Linked DNA regions of Styela clava. Each later gene encodes a partner of the first gene's protein in a complex. Links are inferred from orthologs where the notes say so. Each region holds a gene or a part of one and is shown in the gene's direction. Other genes may lie near its edges.

Evidence for each region.
Region 2: the proteins of origin recognition complex subunit 3-like (region 1) and origin recognition complex subunit 2-like are in contact, whole or in part, in a cryo-EM structure (PDB 7JK6), measured with the Drosophila melanogaster proteins. The link is inferred for Styela clava from reciprocal best matches to the Drosophila melanogaster genes Orc3 and Orc2. Residues at the interface, in NP_476904.1 of Drosophila melanogaster: Gly10, Cys11, Phe12, Val13, Tyr14, Lys15, Asn16, Ala18, Thr19, Arg20, Ser38, Leu39, Leu40, Tyr50, Tyr53, Arg54, Asn106, Pro108, Arg135, Asp136, Ala142, Arg177, Arg180, Asp308, His312, Gln316, Lys319, Tyr320, Met323, Phe327; in NP_731873.1 of Drosophila melanogaster: Ala331, Ile332, Lys342, Met344, Cys345, Ile346, Leu347, Asn348, Glu349, Phe351, Tyr356, Leu358, His369, Lys375, Thr377, Val378, Leu379, Val380, Val381, Asn382, Phe385, Asp392, Ser396, Asp400, Ile401, Leu402, Asp403, Asn410, His412, Glu413.
Region 3: the proteins of origin recognition complex subunit 3-like (region 1) and origin recognition complex subunit 4-like are in contact, whole or in part, in a crystal structure (PDB 4XGC), measured with the Drosophila melanogaster proteins. The link is inferred for Styela clava from reciprocal best matches to the Drosophila melanogaster genes Orc3 and Orc4. Residues at the interface, in NP_476904.1 of Drosophila melanogaster: Ala217, His250, Gly251, Leu253, Pro254, Tyr255, His256; in NP_477320.1 of Drosophila melanogaster: Lys395, Glu398, His399, Ile402, Lys419, Lys422.

The regions. Positions count from the first base shown.
Region 1 is NC_135256.1:21,541,469-21,548,993, reverse strand, and holds origin recognition complex subunit 3-like, read left to right. Parts: upstream 1-4,455; 5' UTR 4,456-4,620; coding exon 4,621-6,840; 3' UTR 6,841-7,238; downstream 7,239-7,525. Other genes in the region: leucine-rich repeat-containing protein 47-like, read left to right, coding at 7,281-7,525.
Region 2 is NC_135262.1:2,458,254-2,465,790, forward strand, and holds the start of origin recognition complex subunit 2-like, read left to right. Parts: upstream 1-4,524; 5' UTR 4,525-4,906; coding exon 4,907-5,633; intron 5,634-6,202; coding exon 6,203-7,344; 3' UTR 7,345-7,537. Other genes in the region: mitochondrial-processing peptidase subunit beta-like, read left to right, coding at 1,621-3,042. UniProt on the Drosophila melanogaster protein: Component of the origin recognition complex (ORC) that binds origins of replication. DNA-binding is ATP-dependent, however specific DNA sequences that define origins of replication have not been identified so far.
Region 3 is NC_135254.1:23,097,767-23,105,161, forward strand, and holds the start of origin recognition complex subunit 4-like, read left to right. Parts: upstream 1-4,312; 5' UTR 4,313-6,476; coding exon 6,477-7,395.

The DNA.
Region 1 (7,525 bases):
ATGAAAATGCACTAATCACTGAATAATTGCACAAACTATTTGTTTTGTTATGAACAGTTCCAATTAAATTTCTAAAATAGGTCAATCATCTCGTACATATAATCAAACTAAAAATGACACTGAATACAATATCCTAAATTTACTTTTAAAAGAACTCAGAACTAAGAAAAAAACTGGCACTAAAATATCGACTCATTCACACTCACTCACAAAGATTGTATCAAATATATTTTGTTAGTCTTTCTCTTCACGCCGCCAACCAAAAACAACGAGCAATTGGATAAAAGAGGCACTTCATGAAATTGGCTGTTCTCATTCCCTCCGATTTTCTTTTCTGTCCAAGAGGATAGATTCGTCTTTCGTTTCGCCTGGGTATTATAGGCTCGTTTTCGATGTCAACCTTTGTATCCACAAGGCTGACGAAACGAATAAACATTCATAAATGTCGAATTGTTTTTTGAAACTGATTACCTGATTCAAATGGTTTAAATTATTTCTAAGATATAAATTTAGGGGCAAAATTCTATTGCCTTGCGTGGACTTATGAGTGCGAATTTTACGAGAAATGAATATGTGCGAGGGAATCGCAGAACTTTACGCAGGCGGTTGGTAACCCGACGAGAATCCTATGTCAGTCGAATAAACGCAAATTCAAATGGACTTCCTGTTGTAATCCAAATAGCAGTAAAGTGCAACAAGTACGCGTCTTTGAATGAAGAAAATTATTGCACTATAAAGCCCGATAGCCCCATTGTCAGGTGTGCGGAATATTAGAACGCTCAAAGCTCGGACTTTCCGTGGGTTTGATCAGTCTATCTTGTATTGCTGGTGAACATTTTGTAATTATCTGTAGGCCTACACAACGATATATGTAGTTGCGATTCACTGGGTCTGTTTTATTCGTCAATTAATTACGACAAGTAAAATGAAAAGTTTGTAAAGTCATATACCGTTGAAAAAAAGCACAATGGGATAATTACCAAACACCAATATCTTCTTCGATTAATAGGCTTTCAACTGCCATCCTGTTTTCACTCAATTAAGAATTGCTTGGCAACAAGACTTCTAGAGGTTGAGGAATTAAGACCGAGTTTTCCACCGGGTTTTCAAAATGAGCTTCCGTAGCTTCATGTTTTTCACATTCCAAATTCATATATGCATATCCTAAAAATAAATTCCAACATGTTTAACGTAGGGATGAATTTTACATCAATGAGTTTTGTTGATTTTAAATTCAAGATAATAGTTTCATCTGATATGTTGTTCTTGCTTCTGTGTCATATAAAATAAAATTATGCTACAGTCTAACGGTTCCCAACCGGGACCCAAGGCTCTCAAACGGGGGGCACATAACAGTTGGAGGGGGCCACCAATTTAGGAGCAAAACTGATTTTACTTCTCCCTTTACAAGGAAACTCTCCGTTATTTCAAGTTTCATTGCTTGACAAGGTTTTCACTTTTTGTGCATGAATTGTTTAAACATAACGGTAATTAGAATCTACAAATTAAAATATTACTATAAATACCAATGAAATTACAAACAGGGGGGTGGGGGCATGAGTAGCCTACTAAAAACCTCTGAAGGGGACCACAAACCATAAAAGGTCGGGAATCAATCTGCTACATTTCCATACAGGCAACCCTCCATAGTCGCAAAACTTAATTATATACATGCAATATTAAGAATTTATGTTATCATTTAGCTTTACTAACTTACCTAAATTTGGCATGCTGCATGTTCTCGTTATCGGAGATCTTGTCCGATACTCTTCCAAAGTTGTTTCGCTCGCCATTTTCTGTATGAACAACCGTGGGTATTCGTGCTTGGTACTGGCATATTCGAGCAATCCTGAGAATCAAAATCTAAAATTAGTAATCGATAATTTCCTCTACCAGAATAATTGTTTTACATATTTATTTGACTTACTTAAGATGCAAGGCGAACTTTGTGTTATCAACCATGCTTCTTCGATAGGCTTGTTCACCATCGCCTGCTTGAGAAAACGCTCACTACTCGACCTTTTTGTTGAAGATATCTGTTTAAATTTTGCGAATTATAAACAAAACAATTTTTAAATTGTAGGCTCGTTAAACGAGCTAGCTGTTCACTAAATTGTTAGGATATAATATAATTCAGTCTAAACGTGTCCCCCGATAAATTCTGTTACGTACAAAATGTAATTTACTCCTCGAGCGTAGATTATAAATAAAATTAATTCATCGTCAAAACCGCCGTGTTGTCTGTATAATGGATGTTTCCTCGGGCATAGATTTCCTCGTTTACTTCGTGACATTGGCCAATCATCACGATGCAAAAATAAACGTAAGAATGCCCCATTTCGCAACTGCTCAGACACTTTTCTCACTCAAACAGATTTTGAGGCGTGGTTGTAAACATTAGGCTACCCATTTTCGCGTTTTCTGAATTATATTCGTTAGTTTTTAGTTGTGTTTCGGAAATTTGAATATAAATCAAATAATTCAATGATCACTTTGTCTTTATGGGAGTTTCAGTTTAATTGCAGTAATCAAAAATTAGTGTAGAAATAGCTGTGACGAGACTAGGCTTAAATTCTTTACTGGTACTTTTAAAAAACAGATTGTTGAATGTTATGAATTAGAATGATAGTTTGAAACAAATACCCAATTTTACAGGCGACAACCCGCGAAACCACTCCCAAAATACGCACCGAAATATAGAAAGAATTTACCGGGGTCAAAGGTCAGAGAAAGGTCCATTCAGTGAAGCGTCCCGGGCCAGAATATTTCACTCCGGCCGTATTTTACCGAACACTGGGATACGCAAACTACCGTACCTTACGGCGTAGACGAGTCCAGCAATCATTTCGCGTGTGATAATTGCCCACGTGATTGAAACCTACGAAAGCACGCAGAGTACAGTATCCAAGTGCACGATGCGCCCAACAAAAACAGGTTTCGCCAAATCGCCCCCCTCGACTTTTTCGCCCTCTTCTGTATCGTTTTCGCCCACCGGGGGCGATATCGCCTACTTTGGGAATCACTGAATTGTATGTAACTGTTTATCATCTAGATTTATTTCGAGTGGATACTGCAGCGGTTGCGAAAATCGCTTCTTGAATACGGTACATCTTGGTACCTAGGCGCTGCGTTTATCGAAAACTTAAGGTATTGCTGGAGCACTGTGGAAAATTTTTCCGATGTTCACAGATAAAAATTGTCAATTTGTTGGTCTAAACCAATATTCCATTTTCTTTAATTTCACTCCGCCGCAAGTGGTAATGCAACTATGATAGAAAATAACAGCAAAACATTCACATGACTAATTTGAACATTTTTTAATTTTTTACATTCCACCGTCAAGAATGATGCAGAAAGACGTGTCCAGTGTGCAAGTCCATTCACCTGATGAAATAACTGATTAGCTATTTTCATATACGACATCTGGAAACAAAATTGCACGTTTTCGAATAATAAGATGAAGACTATCATGTTTTCATGGGAGGTGGCATTCTGTCATTTTTCTCAGCAGTAGGTTAGCCGTTGTTAATACTTTTCACCATATATACAAACTTATTGTTTTCGTCTGCCATCCAATGAAATTGGTTTGACAAGTTTTTGCGTCTGCTGGGCATTATTGCTCTACTTTTAAGTGCCAACTTTAGCTTCCCATAAATAGAAATCATTTCTGAATTGAATGACAAAAAGTTGACATTTTTCCAAAAAGTCACCATCGACTAACACCGTATGTCTTTCGGTCGGTTTTATTTTATTTTAAGATTTTATCTTTGAAATGTTAGTATGATAAGCAAGTTGAAAACGTTTAGCCTGGTGTATCACATCTTCTAAGCATATCAAAGACTTTCCCATTTCCCGAAATTATAATAAAATCCAATTTGTTGACTTTGCTCTCCCTCTCTCCCTGGCCACTTTCAACGCGTGAATGTGTAGAGCAGGGGTCGGCAACCTACGGCCCGCGGACCGGATTCGGCCCGCGGAGTAATATAATCCGGCCCGCGGAGTAATATAATCCGGCCTGCGACGCTTTACTGAACTATAGTAACAAAACAGCTGTTTTGGCGATTATATTCTTCACGTAACAGAATTTATTGTGAGTCACGTTTAGACCAAAATATATTATATTCTAACAAGTATAAAATTCACAATAACTCGCTTAATGAGAATATAATTTAATATAATTAGACGAATTGCAACAAAACGCAGAAAAGTTGATGCTAACTGCAAAGGGTTCAATGGTGCCGAATATTGAAATGGAATATTTTGAGATGCAATGCAATGAGAAAATAAATCTATATTCTCTTCGAGAGATGTATCACTGCTTGATTTTTATTATAAAACGTATCATCCGTTCGGTTATCAACTTTCTGAAAATATGTGCGGCCCGCCAATGACTTACCGTACAACCCTTAAATTTGGCCCGCGAGCGACAAAAGGTTGCCGGCCGACCCCTGGTGTAAAGTATATTCGATGGGGAAGCCCCTTTTTTGGCATGTTACTCTGAAACTCAGCGTGGATGCAGGGATTGGTAAATGACTGAAACAGAAAGGATTGATTGTCTGCCCGAACAGGACATAAAACAACTTCTTTTTGTGGATTTAGGCTAGTTAATTATTATTTATTATGAATAACAAAAGTTTAACTTCTGTGTCGAAGGGATGTTTCGTGTTACCAGCCAAAAAAAAGAAGAAAACAATTCAAGATATAAACGCAGGAAAGTACTTTTCATGTTCAGAGTCAAGCAAAACTCGATGGGAGCTTTCGCAAAAAGTATGGATAGATATGGAATGTAAAATTAGGAATTTACATCTAGATCTTACTGCAAACATACTATCTGATTTGATTGATTTTTTAAAAAATTCTCATAGCTCTAATCGTGAAGTTGGAGGAAAAAGAGCTGAAATCCCAGCTGCTGCTCTTATTACTGGTGTTAATATGCCAGATCATGCTGGATTTTTTCACCAGTTATCAGAGGAAGTTTCGAAAACAATCACTCCACATGTTGCAGTTTTATGCTCCAAAAATTGTTTGAATATGAAAAGTTTAATGCGTTGCATTGGGCAGCAGCTCATATTAGGAGAAGCCGAAGATCTGCACAATGTTTCTGTTGAAGATACTGGGGATCTTGAAACTGACAAATCAAATAATTTTATTTGGAAAAGATCAGCACCATTAACAATGCCCCTACTTGAAAAATGGTTTTCGCAAGCTGATAATTCCTTAGAAAGTAAGAAAAGAAAACAAAGCAAGAAGAGTTTGTCATCAAATACACCTCCCATTGTAATTATGCTGCGAGATATGGAATCCTTTCTTCCATATTTATTACAAGATTTAATTGCAATGTTTAGTACAACTGTTGATACTTTTCCAGTTATATTCATATTTGGGGTTGCGACTTCATGGACAAGTGTGATTGATCGCCAACTGCCCCATTCAGCCACTGTGCATCTTTGTCTCGAAAAATTTCATTCTCCTACAGCATCAAAACATCTTGCTATGATTATTGACAACATTTTACTCACTTCTGGTTATTCATTTAAATTGAGTGGGAAATGCATGCAGTTATTACTTGATGTTTTCCTGTGCCACGATTTTTCTGTAACAACTTTTTTGCACATTCTGAAATTTTGTGTGCTTAACCATTTTTATGAGCAGCCAACTTCGTTATTTTGCACAAACAATATCGCAGAAGCTAACAAGTATCATGAAAAATTGTCTGGTTCACTTCTACAAAAACTTCGTGATTTACCGTCTGTTAAAACTTATTTCAAATCTTTAACAACAAAACGAAAAGAACTTTTGCAAAGTTCTGATGAAGATTTTAAAATTTTAGTGAAAAAAATGTTGGAGGATATTCATGAATTTCATCACTGCTTTTATCCTGTGATGCGTTCATTGTTTTCTCTTTGTAAATCACTTCCACGTCATCCACTGGGACGTCATTTACGAGAGCTGTATTGCGCATGCGATCATGGGCCTATCGTTAATTCGGATGAATACAAACAAGCAAAGATGTTCTTGCGAGTATCTTCAAGGGATCAACTGATTCAAAGATTACAGTCTTGTGTTAAAGAACTGGATGATATGCCACAGAATGCAAGACCAAATTCAAACATTTTTGCCATGGTTATTGATGCAAAGTCAGAAATAAATTCAGTTATTAATGAATTACTACATCCTGAAGATCAAAAAGAAGAAGACTTGCCTCAAAATGAAGAAGATGAGAATATTGCAGAACAAAAGGAGGATGAACCCCTTGAAAAAGTGAAATATGCTTATCAGCTGAAAGAAAATTTGAAGAAAAAGGCACATGAAAAGAAAGTTAAAAAAATGTCCACGTTTGAGAAACTGAGGATCAAAGCACTTGAAATTTTGGATGTCTTGTTTACAAAAATATTACTTCCTCCAAGATCATTTCCGTTTCATGAAATTTTTTATTTTGATTCTACATCAACTATAAAACGGCATATGATAGCAGCACCACGACTTGCAATTCAAACAGCATTGTCAGATCCCAATTGTTATTTACAACAGCCTTGCTTGGATGCTACTGATGGTGTTATTCCACCTTCTGCACCGGATGTCTCCATTGCATACAAATTGCATAATGAATGTGGGAAAATTATAAATTTATATGATTGGTTGGAAGCATTTCATACAATTGTAAATTCTGGCGACAATAATCCACATAGTGATAAAGAAAACAATCAAAATGAAGAAATCAACAAATTTACTCAGGCTCGATTTATCAGAGCTGCGTCAGAATTACAATTCCTAGGTTTTATCAAACCTACAAAACGAAAGACTGATCATGTCCAACGATTAACCTGGTCTCATTCCTGAAATCGTTATTTATTTGTTCATGATTCAAAACTGATTTTTCAGCGTATTCCATTTTCATCAATAATGTTCTGTTTTGGTTCTTGCTGGAGACATTTGAATGGTTTTGTTTAAGGGATTTTTGATAATAAAGCTGCTCAAAAATATGAATTATAAATAACAAATTAATATTTGAAATGAGAAGATGAAATTTCATAGTCGTCAGTACTCTGGAATACAGTATCAAATATAAGCATTCCATGTTCTTGCCCATATATGGGATGAATATACAATGGGCTATTTATAACATTGGTGATTCCTGCATTTATTTTTCGTCATATATGCCTTTTCTCACTACAAAGAAAAAATCTCACTGCATTTTTGTGCTTAATAATTCACTTTATCACTTTTTCTTAAACAGATTGTTAATTTATTTTGTCCAACTTGAAAAGTAGCAAATTTCAATGTCCGATTGGCCTGAAATTGCTCAATGTAAGGAAGAGAAGAGGAGAGAATTGGTCATTAAAGGAACACCGGATACAAGATTGAAGATAGAAAAGAATGACAATGTTCTTCCCGAGGATCTATATTCTTTGACACTGCTGAATTTTCTGGAAGTTTCAGAATGTGGAATCACAAGTTTGTCGAAAGATATAAGTTCACTGTCAGCTTTAATGCAATTGATTATAAATGGTAACAACTTGGTGTC
Region 2 (7,537 bases), on another chromosome or scaffold:
AAATTGGCCCCGACGATGAAGAGCTGACTGAGAGTTATCGATCTCTCTCCTATTGGAATCGTTGCGACAAGAAAACGAGAGAAATAACTGTTTGATTTCGGGTGCTCGTTTGCGCATCTTGGATAGTAGTTCGTATAGTTTGAAGGGCTCTATTACGTCACTGTGACGTCGTGTTGATGTAGTTTTGGGATGGTGTAGTCAGGTGGGGGTTGGGATTGATACGTGAAAAAATTGTCATGCTACGCCCACTAGAAGTATGTTAGGTACTAAACTACATGAGACCCGGGATCGCGACGAGAGAACGAGAGAAATAGCTGTTCGATTTCGGGTGCTCGTCTTGGATGGCAGTTCGTATAGTTTGAAGGGCTATATTAGGTCACTGTGGCGCAAATTTTAGATGGCGTAGTCAGGTAGGGGTTAGTATTGACAGGTGAAAAAATTGTTATGCTATGCCCACTAGAAGTATGTTAGATACGAAACTACATGAGACCCATTATTTTTCCTAGAAATCCAATGGCTGAATGGTGATTTTTTTTGATTGTCCTTTTATTTTTTTTTGCACTCTGCCGATTTGAAGACCCTGACAGTCTCATAAAGAAGGGGTTAGCACTCACAGTTATACCAGTAACAGTAATTGATTTTCTCACGTCTCATGTAGTTTCGTACCTAACATACTTCTAGTGGGCGTAGCATGACAATTTTTTCATGTATCAATCCTAACCCCCACCTGACTACGTCATCCAAAAATTACATCATTACGATGTCACGGTGACGTAATAGAGCCCTTTAAACTATATGAACTGCCATCCAAGACGCGCAAACGATCACTCGAAATCGCGCGGCGGTGTGGCTCAACGGGCTAAGCGTTAGGAATACGCTCGCCACCGCACCTCTAATTACTCTGCATGGGTTCGCAGGTTCGAATCCCATGCAGGGATGGTTATGTGCGAGAGGATTGCTGGGCTCCTCGCCGTCGTTGGGTGGTTCACGTAACCGCTGGTCGGTTACGGCTTCCTCCACCACCAAGTCCACGCTTCCGAAAACAAACAATATAACTAATCCCATACCCGACTTGGAATGGTAACCGGACAAGAGGCCGTGGTTCGCCATATGGATAAACCGTCTTATCGGCTTTCCTCTCCCCCGGGATAAATATGTAAATCCTATCCTATCCTAAATCGAACAGTTTTTTCTCTCGTTTTCTCGTCGCAACGATTTAAATAGGAAAGAGATCGATAACGTCAGTCAGTGCTTTATTGTAGGCGCTAATGCCATTTCGGGCGATTGTACGTATATTTGGCAAGCTCTGTGACGTGATTGTGATGTCGTAGTGACGTAATTTTTGGATGGCGTAGTCAGATGGGGGCTAGAATTGACATATCGAAAAATTGTTATGCTACGCCCACTAGAAGTACATTTGGTATGAAACTACACGAGACCCATTTTCTCTAATGTGGAGGCTATTCTTGCAATCGGAGAACTGTACGATACTGTCTAAAACAAAAAATATCCACCAGCATTCGTGAGAATATTTTCTTCCCATTTTGCCATATTATTTTTGTTTTTTTAGTTTCCCCTGTAGTTTGGGTTGTAATATTTTAGTTAAATCCAGTTTATAAAATGTATTCAAGATTTGCAAAGAATTTAATCAAGCCTGCGAGACAGCTGAAGCAGGTTGTTCAACGCGGAGATGCAACACGAGCTGTTGTACAAGTCAATACTCCAGAAACACGAGTAACAACTTTATCCAATGGATTCCGAATTGCAACTGAAAATTCTGATCTACCGACATGTACTGTTGGTTTATGGATTGACGCTGGAAGTCGTTACGAATCCGAGAAGAACAACGGTACTGCGCACTTTTTAGAGCACATGGCGTTTAAAGGAACATCAAATCGCTCTCAATTGGAATTAGAATTGGAGATTGAAAACATGGGTGCACATCTTAACGCTTATACTTCTCGTGAGCAGACTGTGTATTATGCGAAAGCATTTTCGAAAGATCTACCACAGGCCGTCGAAATTCTCGCTGATATTATTCAAAACAGCACTCTTGGAGAAGCAGAGATTGAGCGCGAACGAGGCGTGATTTTGAGGGAAATGGAAGAAATCGAACAAAACCAACAAGAAGTTGTTTTCGATTATTTACATGCGACTGCGTACCAAAATACTCCGCTGGGTTTAACGATCTTGGGGCCGAGTGAGAACATCAAGTCGATAACACGAAATGATTTGGTAACGTATATCCAAAGTCGATACAAGCCATCTTCAATGGTCATGGCAGCAGCGGGGGGCGTCGACCACGACAAACTGGTTGAATTAGCGAAGCAATACTTTGGAGCTACGGAATCCAGTGTAGCAGAATCCCTATCAAATAGCCTTAAACCTTGCCGCTTCACTGGAAGTGATATGCGACATCGGGACGACAGGATGCCATATGTTCATGTTGCCCTTGCAGTTGAAGGAGTTGGATGGGATCACTATGACACCATACCACTGATGATCGCGAATCAAATTATTGGAACATGGGATCGCTCTTCGACTAACGGAGCTCATTTTCCGAATCCTCTCATGCGTAGAATGGCAAACGAAAACCTTTGCGTTAGCTTCCAGTCATTCAATACTTTGTACACTGACACTGGTCTATGGGGAATTTATTATGTTACAGATAACGCAAATGTGTTTGATTGTACGGTCCGTATTCAAGATGAGTTAATGAGAGTCTGTCACCAAATCTCAGATTTCGAAGTTGAGCGTGCGAAAAACACGCTTCTTACTAACATGGCAATTATGATGGACGGGACGACCCCAATTTGCGAAGACATCGGAAGACAGATGTTATGTTACGGACGCCGAATCCCGTGGCCAGAAATGACAATGAGAATCCAACAAATCGGAACCCAGGATGTCAAAGATGCGATGCAAAAATACGTTTACGACCAAGACCCCGCTGTTGCGGCTATCGGACCCACAGAAGCTTTGCCAATGTACACCAACATTCGTGCTAAAATGTACAAAGTACATTCTGGATTATTTAACTAAAATGACTCTCAATTCTGCAGAAATAACTTTAAAAAAATTTAAAATTCTGTCTTTTGCTGTTTTTTATTGAAAAGTGTTCTCAGTTTTGGGCATTTTGATTCTTTTTAGTCATTGGTGGTGATATATTTTTCCTTCTTTGAGTTTTTTGGGTAACTTATTCTGTTATTTATGGTTATTACTTATATCAAAACTCTAAAAGTTTCATAAATATAGCGTAATACAGTGCGAGTCGCTAGAAAAAAGGAAAATTTGTCAAACAGCTATTTATTTATAAAAAGAATAACTTGTGCAAAGATTTTCAAAGGCATACCGTATTTGCTCGTTTTGTAGCCCGGGCCCATATTTATTTTAAAAACTCACTAACCGGGGCCCTTATTCAAACCGGCCCTTATTCAAGCAAGGGCGCTTGTTATTTTTAAAGTAAAATTCTACACAAAAATTACGATATCTTTGAAGACAAATATTTGACGACATTAATCCGTTGTGACAAAAGCGCTTCTTATTTCCTTAGCGCCCTTATTTGTTTTTATGTTCTGTTCACACGGGCGACTATTCAAACGGGCCCTTAATCAAGATCGGGCGGTAAAACGAGCATATACGGTATGTTATATTCCACTTATAGATGCTCAAAATGATGTCCACGCACTTCAGAGCGATGTCTTAACCTAGAAGTCCAAGCTCGTGTAGTGTTTTGAAGGTTAACTTGTGGGATATTGTTCCAATTCAACCTATACCTATACTCATTTTATTCATGATCTCGTCTTACTTTCAAATTTTCTGCTCTTCTAGCGACCATTCTGTATGATATTTCATTACCTGGGTTGGCAAGTTCTGTTATATTAATAGAAAATCTTGATTAATTTTCATCAAATGATTGTATTATTCGATATTTCAGCTTTGAGTACTATTCTGTTGGTGTTATTGTTACAAAATCTCTGATCATTTTTTTTTGTACTGTTTATCTTACTGATAAGATAAGTTCAGATAAGAAGCTAGGTTATTACCTTCCAACTTATCCTAATCTATGATAAAATAGAATCGAAGAAAAGAGATCTCAAATTTATAATAAAATTTGTCGTTCCATATTTAAAAGTATCATCTTATAATGTATTCAGAATAGTAGATTCTTAGATTTGAATATCCTCTGATTTAAAATAACTATCCTTTGACATTACTAGGTCAGCCATAACTCCATATAACTAAAATAAAACTCAGTTTTCATTTGCTGTCAAATCTCCTATTGTTATGTCATAAATATATTATTTGCTCATAATATGTTCCAATTTGAATTCTGAATGCTCAACTGTTGTGCTTTTTTGTTTAACTTAGTTATTTTAGTTAATTTAACATAATTTATAATAGTTATATGCAACAGAAGCTTCACTCAAAGGAGATTCTCACAATATTCAGAAAACTTCAAGAATCAAGAGTGCATTAACTGTGACCTGGCCTGGAGAAATTTCCATAAAAACTGTTCACAATTATCAGTTCACCGTGGAAATATTGTCCTATAAGTGACAGCAATTGTCCTAGAAGTGACACAGCGTTCCTCTGAAAAACATTTGGTTACAAAGTTGAGTGTTCTTGAACTTGTATAGATGCGTTTAGTTGGACATGTGTGTGACCTGTCTTGGAGCAAGTCCTCAAAAAGCTTTTAATACTTTGCTCAGCGGGAATGCTATTTCTCGCCTTGCCTCTGTAGAGCATTTGGTTGTGTATTTTTTCTTTTCGCACACTAACAAAGAAAAAACTTGAAAAACTATTTTTTGGAAACTTAACATCTGGAATCCTCAAAAAATTTCGGCTGAATTTGGAAGAAGAAGAAAGGTTTATTTCCAAATTTTTCGTACCAGTTCAATAAACCATGTCAAAAACCCCAAGCCGACGATCTGTTCTTGTAAAACATGTCGGAAATGAAGATGTGGAGCATCACGTTACTATGCTTGGAGTCAAGAACCAACGAAAAACAAGATCTTCTATGGCAATAGCAGCGGAGTTCTTTAACGATGTCCCAAAAATTGAGAAGAAAAAGCCTTCTGAGAACCCTAAAAAGAAAGAAAAAAGCGTCAAATATGCGGAAAATGAAGAAAAAGACATTTTGAGTGAAATCACGTCACTCGTTCCGACATCTCTACTTGAAAGTAACGTACAATATGGAGGAGTAGATGTGTACGGTTTTAAAACTCCGAAACGAGCTAAACAAATGTCGAAACTAGCGTCTGAATCTGCAAGAAAAGTATCCAGTGCAAAACAATCGGCGAATAATGAAAATAACGATCCATTGGTTGAAAAAAGTAACTCCAAAACGCCGAAGAAAAAATCGAAGACTTCTAAGACACCTTCCAAACCAGCCACAGAAATAGAGCCTAAAACACCAAGTGTTAAGTTCGCTGAAAATGACACCGACAGTTCATCTAAAACGCCAGGTAAAAAATCGAACAACGATGCACTTGATACACCAACAAGAACCTCGAATCGCACAAAAAAATATCTTGTTCAAGAGATGCAAGCTAATCAACAAGTTGACGATAATTCTGACTCCAGTGAAGAGGAAAATAGTGAAGATGAGGAAGAACAAGATGAACGACAAGGTTTGCGAATTAAACTATCTTGGTTGAGTTCATGTCTCATGCGAATCAGCATGGACTTATGAATCGTTTTAGATAGGTTATGATTTACATATTTATCCCGGAGGATGGGAGAGCCGATAAGATTGCTTACCGTAATTATATGGCAAACCACGGCCTCTCGTCCGGTTGCCAGTTCGCTGGGTGTTGTGGCGAACATATTCCTAGCGCACAGCAGGATGTGTTGGTATTTTTTTTTCGTAGTTACCTTATTGAAAAATCGCTCTTGGACTAATTGCCTCTAGAATTTATAGTGTTTAAAGATTGTAATTTTCCTAGAAGGCTAAAATTTATTTCAAAACTTGCTGTGGTATCTATGGCATTTGATCTTTTTTGTGCAATGATGTGCCGGCTTCGCATTCATTGCTATCTGGTAGTCAGACGAAGTCATGAAAACTGCGGTACTGGTAGTCTACTGTTAAAGATTGCATACACCACACATAGGCCTACTACTTTGTTATGGTATTCTTGTCCATATATTTGTGAACTCAACTGTTAATTTATCATTTTCTTAACTGGCATATTTTTCTTAGATCAAACCCCAGTGCCGCAGCCATCAAAAAGAATTGCCTTGCCATCGGAAACAGAGCTTTATTTCGAGGCTCATAAAAGTGGAAGAAAATTGGGTGCGAGTACTTCTGATCGAACTCTAGCACGACTAAAAATACCTCAAATGAACCAAGAAACAATGCATTCTATCTTAGAGGAATTACAGAACAATAAAATCGCGGGATTAAAAAATTCTAATCCGCATATGTTCAGCAAAGTAGAAAAAATCGAGCTTTCTCGCCAGTGGCTGATTCAAGGCTATGAAGAATACTTTCGTAAATGGATGTTTTATATTTTTAACGATTATAATATTCTACTATACGGACTGGGATCAAAACGCCACCTAGTGCATGAATTTTGTGAAAAAATGCTCTCAGAGTTTGATAAAATTGTTATAAATGGTTATTTTCCGAGTTTAATTATACGCTCAATTTTGGCGTCAATTTGCGAGGTTGCGGACGTAAATATCACCATCGGAGGGAGCCAACAGCAGGCTCAAGTTGACGCAATATGTAAAAAATACACAGACAATGGGTTTGTTGATCATTTATTCTTGATAATTCACAATATTGATGGAACAACTTTACGAAACAATAAGACTCAAAATATTTTAAGTCGCCTAGCGTCGTGTCCACGGATTCATGTTATTGCAACCATAGACCACATAAATGCTCCCCTTATATGGGACCAATCCAAGTTATGTCGATTCAAATGGCTCTGGTACGATGTAACAACGTACGAACCTTATAAAGACGAAACTTCATTTGAGGATTCGCTTCTTATGTTGACCAGTGGAACTGGTATTGGTGGTTCATTAGCTCTAAGCGGCCTCGTCCATGTGGCAAGAAGTTTAACTCCTAATGCTCGAGGAATTTTTAAACTTCTCACAGAGTTTCAAATCGAGGAGTCAAAATCGAGTAATTATATCGGACTCTCTTTTTCTGATTTGTATCAGATGTGTCGTGAAAAGTTTCTCGTCAACAGCGAACTAACGCTGCGGACTCAACTTACGGAATTTCTCGACCATAAACTTGTTGAAATCAAAAAAGGTATTGACGGTGGCGAATACCTCTCTATTCCCCTCGATAACGCTACTTTGCAAGAATATTTAGATCAATCACTTTGAGAATGAGGAATTTTGTTAGAATGGAAGGTGATTACTTGTTTTTGAGGTGTTTTCACACTCCTCCAAGCTTTGTTCGCCTAATATCCACTGTTCAGAAACCGTCATTTTCACTCTGATATTCATGTTTTATTTTCACTGAAGTTCGCTGTCATTTTTTGTGAACTAGACCAGAATCTTTTCAGTTCAGAAACTG
Region 3 (7,395 bases), on another chromosome or scaffold:
TAACAATGTAAAAAATGCGCACGAGGAAAATCTTCTTTTATATAAACTTGAACACCCACTCATGACTGCCGCGCCAAATGTTGTAAATAAATTTTATACATTGAGTCGAGAAAATCATTTTGGATATCCTTAGATGTCCCTTTCGACACAGTTGCGGCATCAAGATGATCTCTCAATACTGTATCTAGGGATGCGGTGTATTCCACCATATCCAAAAATACCCCTCTATTAGAAGAGCCAGCCCGTTCATCGTGCCCACGGAGGGACAGCCCGTGACAACCAATGAACTTCAAAACATCTATCAATCGACCGAGAACATGGCGGTTTTTCTCGACGTTTTGGTTGTGCCGACGAATAGAAACCGCGCGTCCTTCATCCAACTGTGCTGCAATAATAACATTTCCGAATGTTCGGTATTTTACTGCATTGTCCAGATGCTCCATAGAAGATTGATGATCCCTGGCACGCTCGGAAAGATGATTAAGATCTCTAAAACCAAATTTACACCAACGTGAGTCACGGGCGGTAGCAAAAAGTAGGCAATAAAAACAAAAAAGTGCATTTTTGTCCTCGCTGTAACACAACCATTCGTGTTTTTTATACCAAGTTTCTGCGCAGAATGTACGCCGACGCTTTCCTCCGTCATGGGATTGTTCCAGTGAACAATTTTTTGGTTGATAAGGCCCAAGACGTTGTACCTCTAGTTTTTGTTCCAGCGGGAGCTGCGAAAACGGAGTGCGAAGTAGTGCATCAACCTTATTCATTATGAGGTCTAAGGCTAAGAAATGCGAAGCCGGAAAGAAGTGAGGAGCTCAAAAGGAATGTGGAAAATCGAAAGCAAATGGACTAAAGGTCTCTAACTGATTCAAATAGCGAAACAAGCAACAAAAACGAAGGCGAGGAAACTATCAACTCTTCAAGCAACCAACGAACGAGAAGGAATGCGTGAATAAGTCAACACGTTGTTGTAAGAAACGTCGGCATTGTGTCGTCATAATATCGGGGCTAGCCCCGATCGGCCCTGATGATTTAGTAAAAGAAACAGAAAACAAACGAGACAAACGCGGCGAGTGGAAGATAAAAGAGAGAATACGATATACAATGAGCAACCGGGGCAAAATCGGCGTCGCCCCGTCGACGTTCGGCGAAGGCTTTGCGAGCGAAAAATGAACCATATCGGGAGAATATGGCTAGTGTAGACAGTCTGTGCAACCGATATTGAGGTATTTTTCCAATATTTTTTATTATACCGAAAAAACAACCGGGGCATTGCCCCGGTTGGCCCTATTGATGCGCCGCCACTGGGTCATGAACTGTCCGGAATTTTGCTTTTTCAAATATGGTGACCCTAGGTTAGATGTTCACATTGAACTTGGCTGTATTTATTACGTTTTCAGACGTTATTACATCATATATTTACGATTACACCCATTTTCATCTTTTCCGGGATGCCTAAAAAGGGCCTAATCGTGCCAGCTGGTGGCAATTTAATATTCCTGAGCAAAATAACTAGACGCAAGTGCATACATTGGATATTCAACTATGACTAGGGTAATCAGTAGCACCAATATATTCATATTATCGTCTTTTATTAGTGATTAGCCTCCTTTCATTTTTGAAGAGCGAAGGATATGTTGTGATCAAGAGCATGGACCCCTACCTAATACTACGTTACAACCCGCATTCTTGGGTTCACCCTTTGCACCTTGCATGGTCTATCTATAATCTGTTCTATATCATATCCGACTATTTTTAACTGATTCATTATTTTATTAAGTTATTACATCCATTTTCCCCCTTTTTCCTAAATTCCTATAAAATTGCCTTGTCGATCGTGCCTACCTGTACCAATTTATAATTCATGCATAAAACTTCCAGACTCAAATGCATTCATCGAAAATTCACCTAGTATCACTAGCATTTATATTTTATATTTATAGTCTTTTATTAGTGATGATTTATTTCTTTTTCCAAGTACCTAGCGTATGTGGTGATCAAGCGCGTGCGACTTCTTCTAAAACTACGTTTTAATCCTAATTAATGGATTTACTGGTTGCATTTTTCGTGTTCAACATTTAATTTGGCTAATTTTAACTAATTCATTTTCTTTTCAAAAGGTATTACGCCCATTTCATTATTTTTCCAAAGTGCATGAAAAGTCATAACCGGTTCCTGTAACAATTTAGGATTTACATATTTATCCAGGGGGAGAGGAAAGCCATAAGACGGCTTATCCATATGGAAAAACCACGGCCTCTCGTCCGGTTATCATTCCAAGTCGGTTGTGGGATAAGTTATTGGACACGTAGTGGACATAGCGATCGTTTCAATATTATGTTGTTGTTGTTGTTCTTGTTCTTGTTCTTTGACACGTTTTTAAAAAGTCGCTTTTCTCTGTGATGACTGGACCAATTGCTTTGAAATTTTCAGTGGTTGAAGATAAAAATTTTCTTCAGAAGGCTATTACTTTTTTTTACTGCAATGACGGCATCAGAATTATTGCCCTTAGGGGGCGCTACGTGTCCATATATTTGAGCATAGCTCTCTTGTATTGTTTGTTTTCGGAAACATGGACTTGGTGGTGGAGGAAGCCGTAACCGACCAGCGGTTACGTGAACCACCCAACGACGGCGAGGAGACTAGCAATCCTCTCGCACATAACCATCCCTGCATGGGATTCGAACCTGCGAACCCACGCAGAGTAATTAGAGGTGCGGTGGCGAGCGTATTCCTAACGCTTAGCCCGTTGAGCCACACCGCCGCGCCAGGACGGGTTTATTATTCTTCAATACCACTACTAGACTCAAGTGCATTCATCGGATATTCACTCAGGCTAATTAATGTGACTTATATTTTTATTTCTCGGTTTTTATTGTTATTGGTGATAATTTATTGTATTTATCGCGTTTTGTTAGACTTTCTCAACGGTGTCGCCGCTCGATAACCAGCTTTGGTTTTCGGCGTCTCCCTTCACCCTAAAATGCGATTTTTTTTATATATTTCTTTTAAATTGTGTATGTAGAATTCGTATTTTTCAGCATGATGAAAAAATAAATTACTGATTACTGACTGATTACATTCTTCATTTTTTTGAAGTGCCTAGCGTATTTGGTGAGAGAGCGCGTGCGACTTTTAGTACTACGTTTCAACTACAGTATCATTTTTGGGTTTACTTGTTGTACTTTGCGTGTTCAATGTTTAATTTGACTATTTTTACCTAATTCATTGTCTTTTTAAAAGATATTACGCCCATTTTACCCTTTTTCCGAAGTGCATAAATAGGTGCCTAATTTTTAGGTGCCTACTTTCAGTCCGTCCCCTGAAGGGTTACGGTACCGGTATCACTGGAATTTGCATACCGTACCGGTAGTTGTTAGGAATTTTGTCAGTTTGTTAAAGCGTAAATACGGTTAAAGTCTAAGCAGTCTTTCAGCTATTAGAATTTGACTAGATTAGCTTGAATAATTATGTGTGTTTAAAGTCAGATACTACAGTCAGACAGTACCGTACCGGTACCGGTACCGGTACCAGTAGCCTACGGTACTACAGGATAAATGGGAATTTAGATACAGTCTCTGTTGAGAGCCTCAATTTGCGTTGTTTTAGTTTTGTATGATGATTAAGAACTCGTACAGTCCAGCAGTCTGTAACTACCGGTACTGAACTACAGAACTAGATGTAAGATAAGATTATTTTGTTTTAATTTAGTCTATTAGAAATAGTGTAAAATTTTCATTTGCTAATTGTCATTTTTTATGTAACTATTGTTCATTTATGACATTAACAACATGAAAATTTGATACAACCAACTGGATAATACTGTACCGGTAATATGTACCGGTACCGGTATTTGAATAAATGAGACCAGTGGTTCCCAAACTGTGGATCGCGACCCCATCCGATTTTTTGGGGTCGCCTAACTTCTGCCGAACATACACACACAAGTGAATAGAATTTGAAAATTGTATAGTGAAATTTTTGCTGGCAAATACCGTAAAATTTCCAAACTTAGGATTTTTAGCAATATCTTGACCATTTGTTGTCCAAACAGTGCCAGAATGGCTCGATTCTTTTTATAGCTTTTTTGATCATCTTACATTCAAATAAATTGTAGACCCGCTGGTAAGCGAATTGGATTTAGACCATTGCCAGTCTGCGAGAAATTACGTTGGTTTTTTATTTTGTATCTGTGTAGCCCACCGTTTCTCAAATTGTATGCCGCGGCACGCTAGTGTGTCGCAAGAGCTTCTCAGGTGTGCAACGGAGCTTTTTGAAATTTTAGAAAATAAGCTATTCGTGTTACACATTCAGACATTGGAATGCATGCAACGGGCAAGCTTGTGAGACTTGAGTATCCGGTATTAGACTGGTAATATAATTACATTTGCCTTATCGATGTAGTACAGTAGTAAGAGTGATTTTCTACTATGACTGAAATTAAAAGCAAAAAAGGGAGCGACGGAACATCATTTCAATTGTTTCTCAAAACAGACCACACACATCTCATTAACATTTGCAGAATAATTTGTTTAAGGATAACTTTATTTTGTTACAAGTGTGCCGCAGGATATTTTTCATTTGCTTAGTGCCCCGTGAGCAAAAAAAGTTTGAGAACTACTGGTGTAGCCGCTTGGTTTGGAAGATACAAAGCAAAGTTGCTTTATTTGGCGAACGGTCCTTAGTTAGGTGTTTGACATGTTTGGTATTGATTACCAGGCGGTGTCTTGGCGGAGTATTGGCACTGTAGGTTTTGATCAGTTGCGAAAGCACTTTGTTAATTTGCGCACGTGTCCAAAATCTATGAGTCGGCTGCGTGTTTTGCCCACATTGACCCCACATAAAAGTGAACGTTTTCGTATTGCGATATTACGTATTCAGAAGTTTCATACATACTTTCAAAGCGTTCCGAGTAGTCAAACACAAAACCACAACAAGTTTTAGCATAATAGAAGGCACCTGAAAGATGTGATTTCGTTCACGTTTTCCCTATTTTACTCTCATGCTCCGTTTTAATTTAAAATTATTAATGGAGCAATCTGTATTATGTTAACATTGTAATCAAAATAATAAAGACACTGTTGGAATATACTAAATAAGATTTAAAATTTATGTATATTTAGAAGCATCTTACTATCTCCAAATCTCACTATTTCCGAAGTATCATAAGCTTCCTTACAGTTACAATCTACCACATTTTATCAAGTCCGTCTAGTACTGTAGGTTTCGCTAAAGAACCGTTAAAATCCTGATCTAAGAGATTTTTACACTGTGGTTTTCATATCATGCCATGTGTTATCAAATCTTCCGAAGTTCCCCCGTTTTCTGGCGCATTGACGGACTCGTTCATATATTTTTGGGCCAATGTTCATCGTCAACGTCCATTTACAGTAGATATACTGGTACATTGTTCCCATTGAGGTATTTAAAATGATACATAGTACTGATTTCTGAAGTTGCTCAACGTTTCTAGTTGTGGGTCGCGAGTATCTGTGGGCTTTGATTTTATGAAAATTGGGGTCGCGACAAAAAAAAGTTTGGGAGCCACTGAAATAGCAATACCGATGCTGAATTAATGGAACATACAATGGTGATGGGGATCTTATTGGATGGTAACATTTTATGTAATGTGATGAATATTGGAGTATTCCTGTTTTTACCACATAAAAAAAAAATCCTAACTCAGTAACTAGAGCCTCTATTATACTGTTATAGCAATACAGCACACTATCCAAATTCCAAGAATTTCCCTCCATTTGGCTCAATAAAAACAAACACTTTATGTGTCTCACAAAGGTGGGGCGTCTGGGATCACGTTAGATGCTTCATATCGCGCCATGCTTGTCTCAATAATATTCTAAATTAATCGCGGCCGCCACATGACCAAAATTGCTGTTTTTTGCTAAAAACTCTCAAATGCTACGGTAAAAATTTTTTCTTTCGATAAATCGGATTATTTTTTTCCGAGGAATTCAATGATGACGTTACTAAATTGCGCTTATTTGTAGTATTTGGCGCAACTTTATTATACTGTATTTTTACCGATATTGAGGGACAACAATGTCCAGACGTCTCCCTAAGGAGGGGTGTCTGATCATCTGTAAAATGGGTTTCTCTGAATTAGGACAATGTCACCCGACTTGTATAGTGTGCCGTACTGTATAGGTAAAATATTTATGTGAATTTGTCAAGTGGCTTCCTTGTCAGTTTGTCAATCGTAATCCTATTGGAAATCATTTTATTTGTCTGACTAAGGTGGTATGTATGTAATTCTGATTTTTGGATGCAGTCTTCATTTCATTACTAGCCTACTGTCTGACTGTACTATGTCTGTATGTCAGCATGCAGTAATAGTTTTTTTTTATTTTTTGTGCTTGACTGTCTGACTGTATGCAAAAATTTTTATTTTTCATTTTTTTGTTCACCAGATATTCTTTAATTCTGTTCCATCAAATTACACTATACAGCCATACATAATAATGAGCCTCTTGAGTTCAGCACACGACTTAATCAGGAAAAGAATGGCTGGGTTATCTACACCTCAAAATATTCGCAAGGATATGAATCAATATTTTCTAAACATAGAACAGTTATTAAAACGAACAGTTGAATTGGGAGAAAGCAATTCACTTCTTATTATTGGTCCAAGCGGATCTGGCAAGACAACATTACTGAAAAAGTCTTTAACAAACATTAAAAAAGATGTTAACATAGGGAAAAATTTGATGGAAGTACATTTAAATGGTTTAATTCAAACTGATGACAGAATTGCATTAGAAGAAATTACAAGACTATTACATCTTGAGAATACAGTTGGAGATCGCGTGTTTGGTTCTTTTTCGGAAAATTTAGCATTTTTATTGGAAGCTTTGCGGACAGGCAAATCGTCAACTTCTTGCCCTATTCTTTTCGTTTTGGACAATTTTGAGCTTTTTGCTATGCATAAAAATCAAACCCTGTTGTATAACCTTTTTGATATTACGCAGGCGGGTACTACACCTATGGCAGTAATAGGTCTCACTTGTAGACTTGATGTTATGGATTTGTTAGAAAAAAGAGTAAAATCGAGGTTTTCACATAGACAAATATATATTCATAATGGAAGTAATTTTGATCAATATGTAGCAACTTTCAAGGACTTACTCACTCTCAATGCGGATGATATTAAAACATTTGCTGGAAACAAGAATGAGAAAAATAAATTTCTGAAGCAGTGGAATAATTTTGTTGAAAAAATTACATCTGATTCATCAGTGCTTCGGTCACTTCAATTTCAGTTTGATATTTGCAAGGAAGTTTCTTCGTTGTACACTGCGCTTGCACTCGTATTGTTTAAATTAGATCCGTTTGCAAAGCCATCAGATACTGCAGGTGAAATAGTCGATGCAATAAATACAT